3 linked regions of the Drosophila melanogaster genome follow. The protein of the gene in region 1 interacts with the protein of each later gene in a pairwise test. Each region holds a gene or a part of one and is shown on either strand. Other genes may lie near its edges. The genes, in order: CG17377, CG34168 and dsx.

The links.
Region 2: the proteins of CG17377 (region 1) and CG34168 interact in a two-hybrid assay, tested with the Drosophila melanogaster proteins (2 studies listed by BioGRID).
Region 3: the proteins of CG17377 (region 1) and dsx interact in a two-hybrid assay, tested with the Drosophila melanogaster proteins (2 studies listed by BioGRID).

The regions. Positions count from the first base shown.
Region 1 is NT_033779.5:6,800,767-6,804,447, reverse strand, and holds CG17377 (uncharacterized protein), read left to right. Parts: upstream 1-1,658; 5' UTR 1,659-1,740; intron 1,741-1,793; 5' UTR 1,794-1,810; coding exon 1,811-1,837; intron 1,838-1,900; coding exon 1,901-2,497; 3' UTR 2,498-2,595; coding exon of another isoform or gene 2,596-2,597; 3' UTR 2,598-2,740; exon of another isoform or gene 2,741-2,742; intron 2,743-2,797; coding exon of another isoform or gene 2,798-2,808; 3' UTR 2,809-3,070; downstream 3,071-3,681. Other genes in the region: Daao2 (D-amino acid oxidase 2), read right to left, coding at 190-502, 560-856, 926-1,138, 1,194-1,396.
Region 2 is NT_033779.5:16,134,065-16,137,002, reverse strand, and holds CG34168 (uncharacterized protein), read left to right. Parts: upstream 1-1,730; 5' UTR 1,731-1,841; intron 1,842-1,908; 5' UTR 1,909-1,914; coding exon 1,915-2,097; 3' UTR 2,098-2,289; downstream 2,290-2,938.
Region 3 is NT_033777.3:7,964,364-7,969,428, forward strand, and holds the start of dsx (doublesex), read right to left. Parts: upstream 3,046-5,065; 5' UTR 2,100-3,045; intron 1-2,099. UniProt on the Drosophila melanogaster protein: Controls somatic sexual differentiation. Binds directly and specifically to the FBE (fat body enhancer) of the yolk protein 1 and 2 genes (Yp1 and Yp2).

The sequences.
Region 1 (3,681 bases):
TGCATTGACCCAATCAAAACGTAGTACAGCATTCAATTCAATTTTATAACATTTTCCATATAGAAATTGCTAAGTGTAATGAAATATATTAAAATGTTTATTATGTAGATAAAGAGATGCTTTTAAATGCTGTTACCTTTACACTACCAATTTTGTTATAGAACTAAAATAATAATCTTTCCAACTGACTTATAATTTGGAACCGTTCTTGGCGGCCAACAGGATATTGAGGACATCGTCGGCACAGCCCCAGCACAAAGTGACTCCACTGCCGCCATGTCCATAGTTGTGGATGAGGAGCTTGCGGCCGCGGCGCTCGGCTTCCAGTCGGAGTTGGGTGCGACCCGGCCGGAGACCTACCCAATCAAAGAGGCACTCCGTGTGCTCCAAACCAGGAATGTACCGCTGACAGCCATCGACGATCATCCGCCTGTCGTTCTGGCAGACTTTAGTGTTGTAGTCCCGCTCCTGATGGGTTCCGCCCAGGACAACACTTTCGGTGCTTAAATATTTCAGATATTGGAATACGAACAAATAAGTGTAACTGGCAAATACTCACTTGGGTATAATATAGTTGCCATCATCACTCTCGTCCAGCACGGCAGAGAAAATCCAGTTGGCCCTCACCCGGGAAACTTGGCCACGCACTGCGTACATTTGATCGTCGTTTAGTAGGGTCTTAGAGCCCAATCCGGAGCAATTGACTATCACATCGTACTCGGAATCGGCTACAAATGCATCCAGGTCTGTAATCCTTTTCCGGACAACAACACCTCCATTTCGGGTGAAACGCTTCATCAAATACGGCAGTAGCTTAATGGGCTCCGAGGTGTAGGTAACAAAGGATAAACCAGACCTAGATATGGTTTAGATATGTTCATATTTCAGCAAGTATAAATCTATGGATATCTATGAATATTCTTACGTGAACTTAACGCTGCGACCTTTATTGTAGGCAGCCAGCTGTTCCTTGGACAGATCCACTGCTCCATAGACAATGTCACGCCAAAAATCTTCGACCGTGTCCACCGTTGAGGTGCTCAGCCGAATGCAGGGTAGCAGACAAACGCCAGCCTCTCCGGCATCCTCGCTCAGCCAGATCTTCTCCAAAAATTGGTGCATGCTCTTCGACCACTTGCTGATGGAAAAAAAGTTATAAGTAAGAATATAATATAGTGACTAGTAAAACTTACTAGACTTTCGCCTGCGAAGTGCCGCCCAGAAGGTACGGACCCCAGAGACCAGCCGAACCATCTCCAGTTGTGTTAGGCGTGAAGTCCTCCGATATGATCGTCACCTTTATGGGTGTCTTTCCATCGTTCACATAGTGTTCCAGTATCTTAATGGCACTGGCAACACCATTAACCCCGGCACCGATAACTGCAATGTTAGGCATTGCTCCAATCCGATCAGCTTGGGAACTTGGAATGAACTGAAAAGAGGATCGCTTATCAGAATTGTAAGCAAATCGCATAATACAATTAGCTGATAACAGAGCTTTTAAAAAGAGCGAAAAAGCTTTTTGCATTTTGAATCTAATATTAACTCTTTCTTAAAATCTAGTAGGCTATAATTCCAACAAGTTGGCCTTGCATTTCATCTCAAACGGAACCGAATATGTGTGTTGGGATGTGTTGATCATTCCTCATTCGATACCAAACTCTCGGACCTTTCGTTTCGGCCAGCTTCTAAATTTTCCAAATTCCAAATTTTTCTTCCAAATTAATTTGACCAAATAGAGTAAGTTTATCCCGGGAAGACCATAGTATATTTTTAAATCCTTTGTCCTGTAGCGCTCGACGGGCTCAAGATGTGTGACGGATGTGGATCGTTGGAGGTGAGTAACCATATGCAACACACCACTGACCACTTGTGACCACTATGTATGCATCCTTTCCAGCCGCGCGGATGCCGCAGTCGGGAGTTACGATGCGGCATCATGTACACCACTTGCGACTGCGTGAAGCGGAACGGTCTGCAGGACAAGTGCCCGCGGTCCGCCTGCCAGGGCCGACCGGCCTGCCTGTGCTTCCCCTTCCCCACCTGCGGTCCGGCGGCATTCCCGCTGCGCTACGCTAACATGATGATGGGCGTGAACAATAAGCGTATGCGCTGTGCCGCCACTGGAGCACCAAATGGCGGTGCCGGATGCGGTGGACGCGTTGCCGGCGGCTGCTGTGGATGCGGTCCCTGCTGCTGTAATGTATCGCCCTGCTGTGGCCCGCACAGTCCTCCATGCTGTGGCTCGCACAGTCTTCCATGCTGTGGCCCGCACAGTCCTCCATGCGGAGCTCCGTCGCCCATTCCTTGCTCCTCTGCTCCGGGCATGTGCTGCCCTCCGCTGCCTGAAGGCGGCATTCCCGATCCGCGTGTCTGGAACTACTATAACGCACCTGTGACGTACCCATGTAAGTCCGGTCCAGGTCCGTCCACCTGTCCGCCTGTCTGTCCGTCTGCTTGTCCATCTGTCACGGCGCTGGGCGTCCGTAGAACGTAAAAACCATGGAGCGGAGGAGCACGAGGCATGCCCAAGGACTTTGCAGGTCACAGCATCTGGAACATGTGCTTGTGGTGACGCTTCATGTCCTTTTGCAGGAGCTTTATGCCCACTACGCTGATCCGTCAACAATGATAGCATGTCCTGGGCTTTGTGAGCGTAGAGGTAGGATCCATGGACCAAATGCTGTTGCCAGGCCCCAAATCCTTCATGACCCTTTGACCTCCATCCGCATCCTGTCGCGTGTAAGTAACTGCGATACCTTCTGCATTCACTGGTTTTACCTTTCTCATCCCACAGGTGGCTTATAAGTATTTCCTGGCAAGTGTTTCGATCGGATCCTGATATGGGCCACTTCCTTGGCGGGACATGTTGTCGTTTTGTGACGTAGTTTTGGTTGATAAAAAATTGAAGTTGGCTTAAATCAAGATTTAGCCAGCTGCGGAATACCCATTACTAGAAGGGCTCGAAGCTATTTGGGAACCCATGTGCAATTCGTCAGACGGTCTTGATTTAAACACAAAATCATATGTTGGTATCTGGAATCTATTTGGCATTAAATTACAAATAAACAAATTGAAATTATATTCTGTGTATTATGGGGGGTGTTAAAGGTTGCGTTTATTTTATGGCTGCACTTATGCTTCGAATATTTATATTTTAAGCCTGGCATTAGAATTGTAAATTAAGGTTGAAACCTTATGCCAAGGCCATAAAAATTTACGTTCATATGTCCCACAGATATTCTGATATTTATATTAATTAATATCAATTTTATTAGGGTGGGTTTCCGTGGCATTTAAGATTTAATTAATTAAAAGTTGAACTTTGCTGATAGTACTTTGTTTTAAACCCATTTTTTCGAGCTGGGAGAGCCATGTTCCAATCTTAGTGAGTTAGTTGACCTAAACAATTCGCGGGTCAAATATTTTGTTTTAGTGAATAAGGCAAATATAGATATATAATTATGTAGATCTGTGGCGATTTCATAATCTTTGCTAAGTCGAAGTAGGCCATGAAATTTCATAAAGTTGGCCATGACTTTTAAGCCAACCCGAACCGAAACTTGAACTGGATGTGCTGGGCCAAGGGAACAGCTAACCTCATTCGATATCTGACTCTCGGACCAGTCGCTTCGACTTCTAAATTTTTTTCTAAATTCCAAATTTACTTTTTCGATAATA
Region 2 (2,938 bases), 9.3 Mb from region 1:
ATATGTATGTATATTTTAAAATTTATTGTGCAATTATGCATTATTAGTTATGATTAAACATTTTAATGGAGTTTTCTTCCGCTTTTAAGCTGTGAGTTACAAACAAATAAATCAAAAACATAAGAACGGAACCAAAAACTTATCGCTCCAAAACTTCCGCTGCACGGACGCTCATAAAATGGGGGACATTGAACTTCTGAGCGGGCTGAAAAAGGCATTGCTGAAAACTGTAAAAATACCAGCGAAGAAGCCGGAAAAAAACAGTGGAAAAAAGTCACATCAACACGAAACATTAAGCTTCACAGTCACAACATATTCGGCTCTTCGATGCATTTTCCTTAAAGTCGCCATGGAGTTCAAATCGAATGGGAGCGCACGCGCCTGCGAATATGCAATGCTGTAATACGAGACCAACACGCGATGGAGATGATGTTTGGTTACGGAAGGGGATACGGGAATTTTCCCGGGGTATTCGGGGTTCCGGAATCGGAACAGAAAATAAGCTCAACCAGACCCAAAAGGCCACCAAACGAACGGGCTATTTACGAAGGGCGGAAGTGCTTTAATTTAATGTTGGTAAAAGATAAGAAGTTAATCCGATCAAATTTTCTTGGCCTTTCCTTCATTTAATTCGATTAAGTAATAGATGAGATAGTGATGTTGGAAAATCGATGTACATGAGCTTTATAAGTAAATAAACTTGTAAAATGTACAGAATTCTTCATCCTTCAGAGTTTTTTTTACTTATTTTCTTAAACTCATAAAAATTAGGAACTTCGAGATGGATTAATTTACACTCAGCCTTACAGCTTATTTGGGTGAAAACGTGAAAAGTGTTGGGGTAATCGACTCAATTAGCTATTGCATAAGCACACTTTGCACACTCCCGCGCCAGCCAAACAAACACCAAACTCAATTAGATGCCATAACTAAATAATCACAAACACATTTACGCCAGCAAGAGCTCTTTTCAGTTGAAGCAGACCGGTTGGTAACCAAGAAACGTGGCAAAAAAAAAAGAAAAGAAAACAGAGAACCAGGTCAACAACAGAAACAACATGAGCAACAATTTTGAAACAATGAAATGACGACAACGACAGAAGCGGCAAGGCATGCCTGGAAAATTGCTTCCAAATGCTCAGAAGCCAGAGTGGAAATATGGGTAGAGTCGGAAAAGTGGGTGGCCTGGGTGGCTGGGGGACATTCCAACATGTGACGCACGTGACAAAACTTGTCAAGTGACTTTACTTCACTTTGACTGCGAATCCCGGCTCTGTTGTCCGTAAACAAGAAGACGGAATCCCGGCTGTGAAGAAAAATAGGTTTGTGTGCATTGCCCAACACAAAATGCTTAAGAAAACTCTGCTCTTGGTAAAACAATGAAAGGTGGGGCAAAGAGGAAAAATCAGTCGCGGCTTGGCTTTTCCGACTTGTTGCGCCTTCGGCTAAATTATGACATCGAGAGTTTTAGGGGAATGGGAAGTCCTTCGGGACGGACTGAAGTATTTTTGGAGGAGCAATGGAGTGGAATTTTATGGGACACACAAACAATCGGGAACGGTTTTATGAATTAAAATTCTTAAAGCGAATTAGATAAGAGGCTAAGAGGCTAACTGTATATATAGTTAATCAAATTTTAAAATTTGGAAAAAAGCATTTTAAAAGCAGGCCATGAAACCACAACATAGAAGGCCATGAAATCAAAGTTAAATCTGTAGAACTTTGTGGACCAAGCTAGTGGCTTTAGCTCATTATAGTTTCGGTTCTCCAACAGAAAACATCTATTTGTACGACTACCAAATTTCTAGGACTGAAAATCCTACTTCCGTAATCAGGCTAATGTGAGTGTGAACAACAAACGAATTTGTTTCTTGAAAATATCCTCGATTCGTTTCATTTCGTTTTCAGAATAAAATGTGCAATCCAGGAATGTGCTCGATGCCCGGCACTTGCTGTGGACCGACTGGCGGACTGGGACCCTGCCTGCTCTGCGGACCCTACAATGGCCAGTGGTTCCGTTCGGTCAACCACTGTTGCGGTCCTTGTGGCCCATATGGTTGCTGCTCATGCTACGGGCCGTATGGTGGACATTGTTAGCCTGCTTAGAAGGAATGTAGGGTTTCTTTATCCGCGATCTGGAACAGGAGCTTTAAAGATTGCAGCCGTGAGGCCTTGTCGAAGATGAGGAGCCACGCTGAAAAGTTGTCAGGCAAAGTGGATCCAAAGATTTGTGTTCGATGAAAGATTATGCCATCAGAAATAGATGTTAATAAATTATACGTATAATTCAAAAATAGACCACTTTAATTTCACTTCACATGTATTGCTATCAACAGTTAGCAAACCTAATTAAATATTTGGCATGCATTCTGTGGAAACAATCACAAAATTCCATCTCGTAATTTGCCGTTTTTGGTTTTCTTTTCAGTCCGCCGGGTGCATTTAAGGCTAAACCCCATTTGATTGTAAATATTTGGCTCGTTTACGGCTAACGATACATCGGGGACCAGCCAAAAAGACGTGTAATGCTAATGGGCCTGTTGAGTGCAAATTTGTTTACGAGTAAAACACCACTAAAACAGATGGGCTTGCTGATTGCTTTCAATTTTATTTAATCGAGGCACCCCGCATCAGATCGACCAGAAAAATTGATATCGTTAAACATAGTGAACAACAGAAACGGTAAGTTTAAAGAGTATATCATCGTGATACGGCTACTTGGTGCGTTTGAGTGCTTTGCTAAGACTGGGGAAATACTCGTCACTGTTGAGATCAGGAGCTTGAGGTTTTCCGGACATCTTGGATGGAACCTTACGCAGACGGCTCTCAGCCTGATCCCGTCGATTGAAGTCACCTTGGCTCTGGCGGAGAGCAGGTGGTATGTAGATTTGGCTCTTTACCTCGGACGGTTCTTTCTTATTCGGTTGCTCCACAGACA
Region 3 (5,065 bases), on another chromosome or scaffold:
CCCTCTAAAGCACAAAAATAAAAAAAGCTTTACATCAATCAATTACATATCAATAATAAAAAAACCAAATAATATAAGTAATATAAGTAAAAAGTATACATGGGAAGAATGTGGTTAATATTTCTATATTATATAGATAGGGAATATAAGATTCTTCTACACTTCTTGTCCACTTTCTCCACACCTGCTGGCGTGTTTGATTCGTGTTTAATCTAATTTGCACTTAGTTTGACATTATGGTGACTCATTGAACTTGCCTATGCACACAGATTCACACTCAAAATGTTTGACGATTGATTAGAACCTAATGAACGAAAGATAGGGAGAAATATATGTGACATAGACGAAAGCCAGTATCGATGAGAATTTTAATCTATTAGCTAGGTGACATGTAGTGTGAGCGTTTGTCTGTCTCAATTTTCGTTTGCTGTAATGACTTAATTTCGGAGTCTAAAGAGTTAATACCCTGTATTTAAATGGAGGGTAAATTGAGCATGAACGATGTGCTGATAACGGGTCTCACATTCGTGCTAGCACCAGATACCCGCCCCCTTCTTCCACCGCCTCCCGCTGGCCACGGCAAAATGTTGTTATTTTGCCTGTGTGTTTAAAAACTGCACAAGATTGCTTATCTTGCATGTCGCCTCTAATTTGTATGAGCTGAGAGACCCGCAGAGAAATAATTCCTCCGAAGAGCCACTTTAAGAGAAAGACCCTGCTGGCTATCAGTTTTCAATATTTGTGTTTGGTGGAAATAATGACAAATATAAGCAGGGAAACAGTGGTCAAAGTTGCCAAAGGAAAAGCGGATTAAATTGATTACGGGCGAGCATAAAAAATGTGCAGCTTGCGCATGTATGCTCAATTAATTTGTCTAAAGCGGAAGAGATCACGATAAGAACCCACTTCAGGTTATTAATGGGCCAAGGACAGCTCGGCGTTATAAATGGCAAAAGCACCTTAAGTCGATTATATGATAATTGCAAGTGGGGTGCAGCTTAAAAAGTTGAGTACAGATCATTATAACTGTGCACTAAGAAAAATGCATTTACAGGTATTTTATATTTGTATATATTCTTGGGAAAATGTACCAAGCTCAGATTTATATTATACTAAAATATTCGTCTTGCTAATATGGTTTAATAACTTACTTAATATAAATCTATGAGTAAAAAGTCTGCATGTTTGCTGAGGAGTCAAACGGCATGCTAGGTTCTTATACCTTTTTTTTTAAGACTACAGACAGGTGTACTCGATCTTGCCATTTGCGTCATCCGTCTTCATGAAAGTCGAGATTTCGTGAGTGAAAGCAAGCTGCAGTTTCTACTAATGATCTCTTACGCCCACTAAAATATGAGTTTTAACTTAGCAAGGCTAACTATGTTATTTCGACTACAAATGACAAGAATAATAGCCAAAAGAAATGAATAATTATCCCCAAGATAACACAAAATATTAAAGGTAAACTGTCCTTTCGCGCTATACACAATGAGCATTGGCAAAAATTTAAGTTCTAATTTACATATATTTTTTATAATTGCAGCACTCGTGAATAATCGATGGTAAGCTTTAAAATTAACAAGAAACGCCTTCGCTTCAACTTTAATTTGAATAAAAATATTCAGCACGTGTTTATCGTTTTAAGCCAGTTGGTTTCCGTATTTGTCATTTGCATTTTCCTCATAACCACTTAGACCTTGGTCCAATTTGCCTTATATGTATGCAGTCATCTAGGATAGCCGATCGCAAACGACAATGGCAATGGCCTACGCTATCCCAATCTTAGAAACTAATGCGGGAGTCTCATAGTGTGGCTGTAAAACGCGACCTGTTGCTCGTTTCCTGTTTAATTTGGAAGTCAGACAATAGCCTGAACCCCTGGCTCCCCCCCATTCAGCAGTCATACCGCCAGTTGTAGATGGCAATCGCTGAGCGTACCTGCTGCTATCGCCATTAAGCCTTGTACACACGAGCATTTATGTCAGGCAATTACAAGGCAGTTTGCAACGCCCCCAAATGCCGGGCAAAAAGGTGGCAAAACGGAGCGGAGTGGTGGCACATTTTGGCCGCAGAGCGCTCGTAACTCATCGTTCACTTACCAGGTACAATGCCAATTGCATGCACTCGCTAGAGTATCTCCAGGTCCACTACTAGACCACTAGCAGTATATGTATCTGTATCTGCATCTGCGATCTGCCTCCGCGAGGTGTGCTTTGCTCTTGGTTATGCAAGCAAAGTGAGAGAATATAGCACTAGCACTCGGCGAACTCGATGAGATACGGGGAGTCCGATCGGCTGGGTACGAGACGGTCAGGAGTGCTTCGTGGACCGAGAGTGAGAGTGTGAAGCCGGTAAAAATTTATTTCTTTTATTTGTTATCTTAAACCGTACAAGCTGTAGCCGCAAACGACTTTGTTTAGCATGGCACTCGCGGCTCGATCTGGTTCCCTGTAGGTCAACGCATTTTAGAGATATTTTCGGACCTCGCACAGCAACTAAAAACTATCGCACAGAATTTTGTACCGAATCCGCTCCAGTTCTTTTCACTTCAGCTTGAGATTGTGATTTCGAGCACGGAACGCGGACGGCGCGAGACGCCAACGCGACATGCACGACCTGCAAAGGACGATCGATGCCAGCAAACTGGTTGCGGCCACAAAGCTAAAGCTCCCCGTGCACGATACTAACACTCGGACCAGTACCAGTCCGACTAGCAGACCAAAAGACAGCGGACAGATACACGGACATTCAGGCGGACGGGCGGACCTAAAACTGAGCATGTGTTTCTGGCACAGAGACGGGCCCACCGACTGGCGACGCAACGCTCTTGCTATTTGTATTTGCACTCTGGTTGCTGCACCGCGAAAAAAGAAACGAGTGCGAGCATCCAACCTGCTCGACTGCTGGATGCACTGCACATCAACTGGGAGAAAGCAAATTGGTTTGGTACCAGATATGGATACCCTTATTTGACCGTTTTCATTGTAAACCCTTAACTATGCTCTTTTCCATAAGTAAACCATGCTAAAAATAACATAATTTAAACACAATTCTTACAATATGAACTATGAACTATAAAAAAGTATTGCAAACTATTAAATCGTATGTAATATGAGCTAAATTCGCCGCGAAAAATATAGGTTCCGCACTGCGGATACTTAATTCTCCTTACCTGCGTTGCATACTTTTAAGGGCTAATTTCCGCTAATATCAGCCAAATAAAATGTATTTTAAAAAATTATGTATTTGAACGGAAAATGTTTTAAAATATTCATTACTTCTGTGTTGCTATTTAATATGTGAAATACGAAAAACGGTCAATTATTTTAAATACTAAGTAAATAGTTTTTAAACAGAAACATTTATACGATAGAAGGGCATTTCTTTCATCGGTTCCCACGATTTTTAGCAAACTCATAAGCTCGAAGCAACGTTGGTATGTGAAGAACTCAAACGAAAGCATCTTGGGCAACAGAGAGTTACGGAGAGAAACGGGTCTGCGAGAGTGTAAAGTGCATTTGCCCCATTAATGGGGAGCATAAAACATCGAAGACGTGCTCTTCCTCTCTGAGCGATTCTCTCTTGAAGTTCGCGTGTTTTTTTGCGAATCTCTGCGAGAAGCTCGAGTGGAGCAACTTTGTTGCCGTACATTGACGTCTCCCGCCTGCATGTGCCGATCGTAAATTTGCACTCTGGTCGCTCTCTCTCTCTCTTCCGTTCTCTTTCCGCGTGGCGCGAGAAGAAGAAGCGCCAGATATGGGGAGCATCGAATCGGGTTTGGGCGTCTAGCCGACGATATAGGTCGAACCACTCAGCTGGGTTTCGGCCTGCGCCGCGTATTTATGCCACCTTTAGACGCAGCGATTTGCGTGTGTCGCACTCGCATTTATCACATTGAAAGGTCCCCTTTCATCGTCAGCCGTTATATTAGTCAGGATCGTTTATACAGTACGGCGGAGATAATTTTGCCGAAGCTCGGCTCCATTAAAAGATACTTCCCTCAGGCGATGCACGCAACTCCCAAAAAGGTAACCAAAAATGGTCGAGAGTTCGATTTTTGGGCAGTGAATCGATTTCGAAAGGGCCTTCGGTACTTCAGTAGTTTCCCATTGGTGACCAAATTGTAGGGGAATGAATGGCTCAGCGATCAGAAAACATTAAGATAATACTCATTAATTAACCGTTTTTGATTCTCGTTTAGTGTTTCAGAGACAAAAGTTATTAATTTAATATTTAAATAAATGAAGTGATAAAGTGACTTAAATTTAATGAATTTATGTAATTATTTTGACTTGCTCATACAAAAATTGAATTTAAAGAAAATTACTTACTTATTATATTAACTATCAATATCATCGAGGTAATGTGAAAACTTAATATAATTGCATACTAGGGTACTACAACATATTATTTAAAAAATGTTTACGAAAGTGAGAGCGGAAGGCTTTGTCATTGATTTGCATGAAACTGTATATATTGCATAGGCAAGGGGATACATTTTTCATCCAAATCCGATTTACATCTTCACCAATTGATCCCGTGCCGATTGTAGAACGATAAAATTCACATAGCTTTAAAGGCGCATTTCTTGCACCATTTCTTGTACCTTGGATCGCACAAATTTTAGCCCTTTTTATGGCGGAGTGTCGAAAGAGCTTGGCTGGGGGCATCTGCATTTGCAATCTCATAAATCAATTAGCAAAGAGCGGCGCGGGAAGAGTATCTCGCGGATACGCATCCGAATCGAAACTCGTTTGGCCGAGTGCGCTCTCAAAAAACGCCAACAAACTTGGGGCAGAACGGCAAACAACAAACACTCGGGCGGTCAGAAAAAATGCAAATTGCTAAGGAAATATTTATTTATGATCTGCTCTCTTGCTCCCAGTTCCACTCTCTGCATCTGACAGATACTCTTTTTTCCTTGTAGGACCTTTGCGACCCCCGCATCGATCATCAGCGTTCAGTGTGTTTTATTTTTAACAACTCCACACTCACCACAACCGACGCATCGGTGGCAATTGCAAACATTTATACAAATTGACGTTTAGCTGTCGCAGTTGTCACC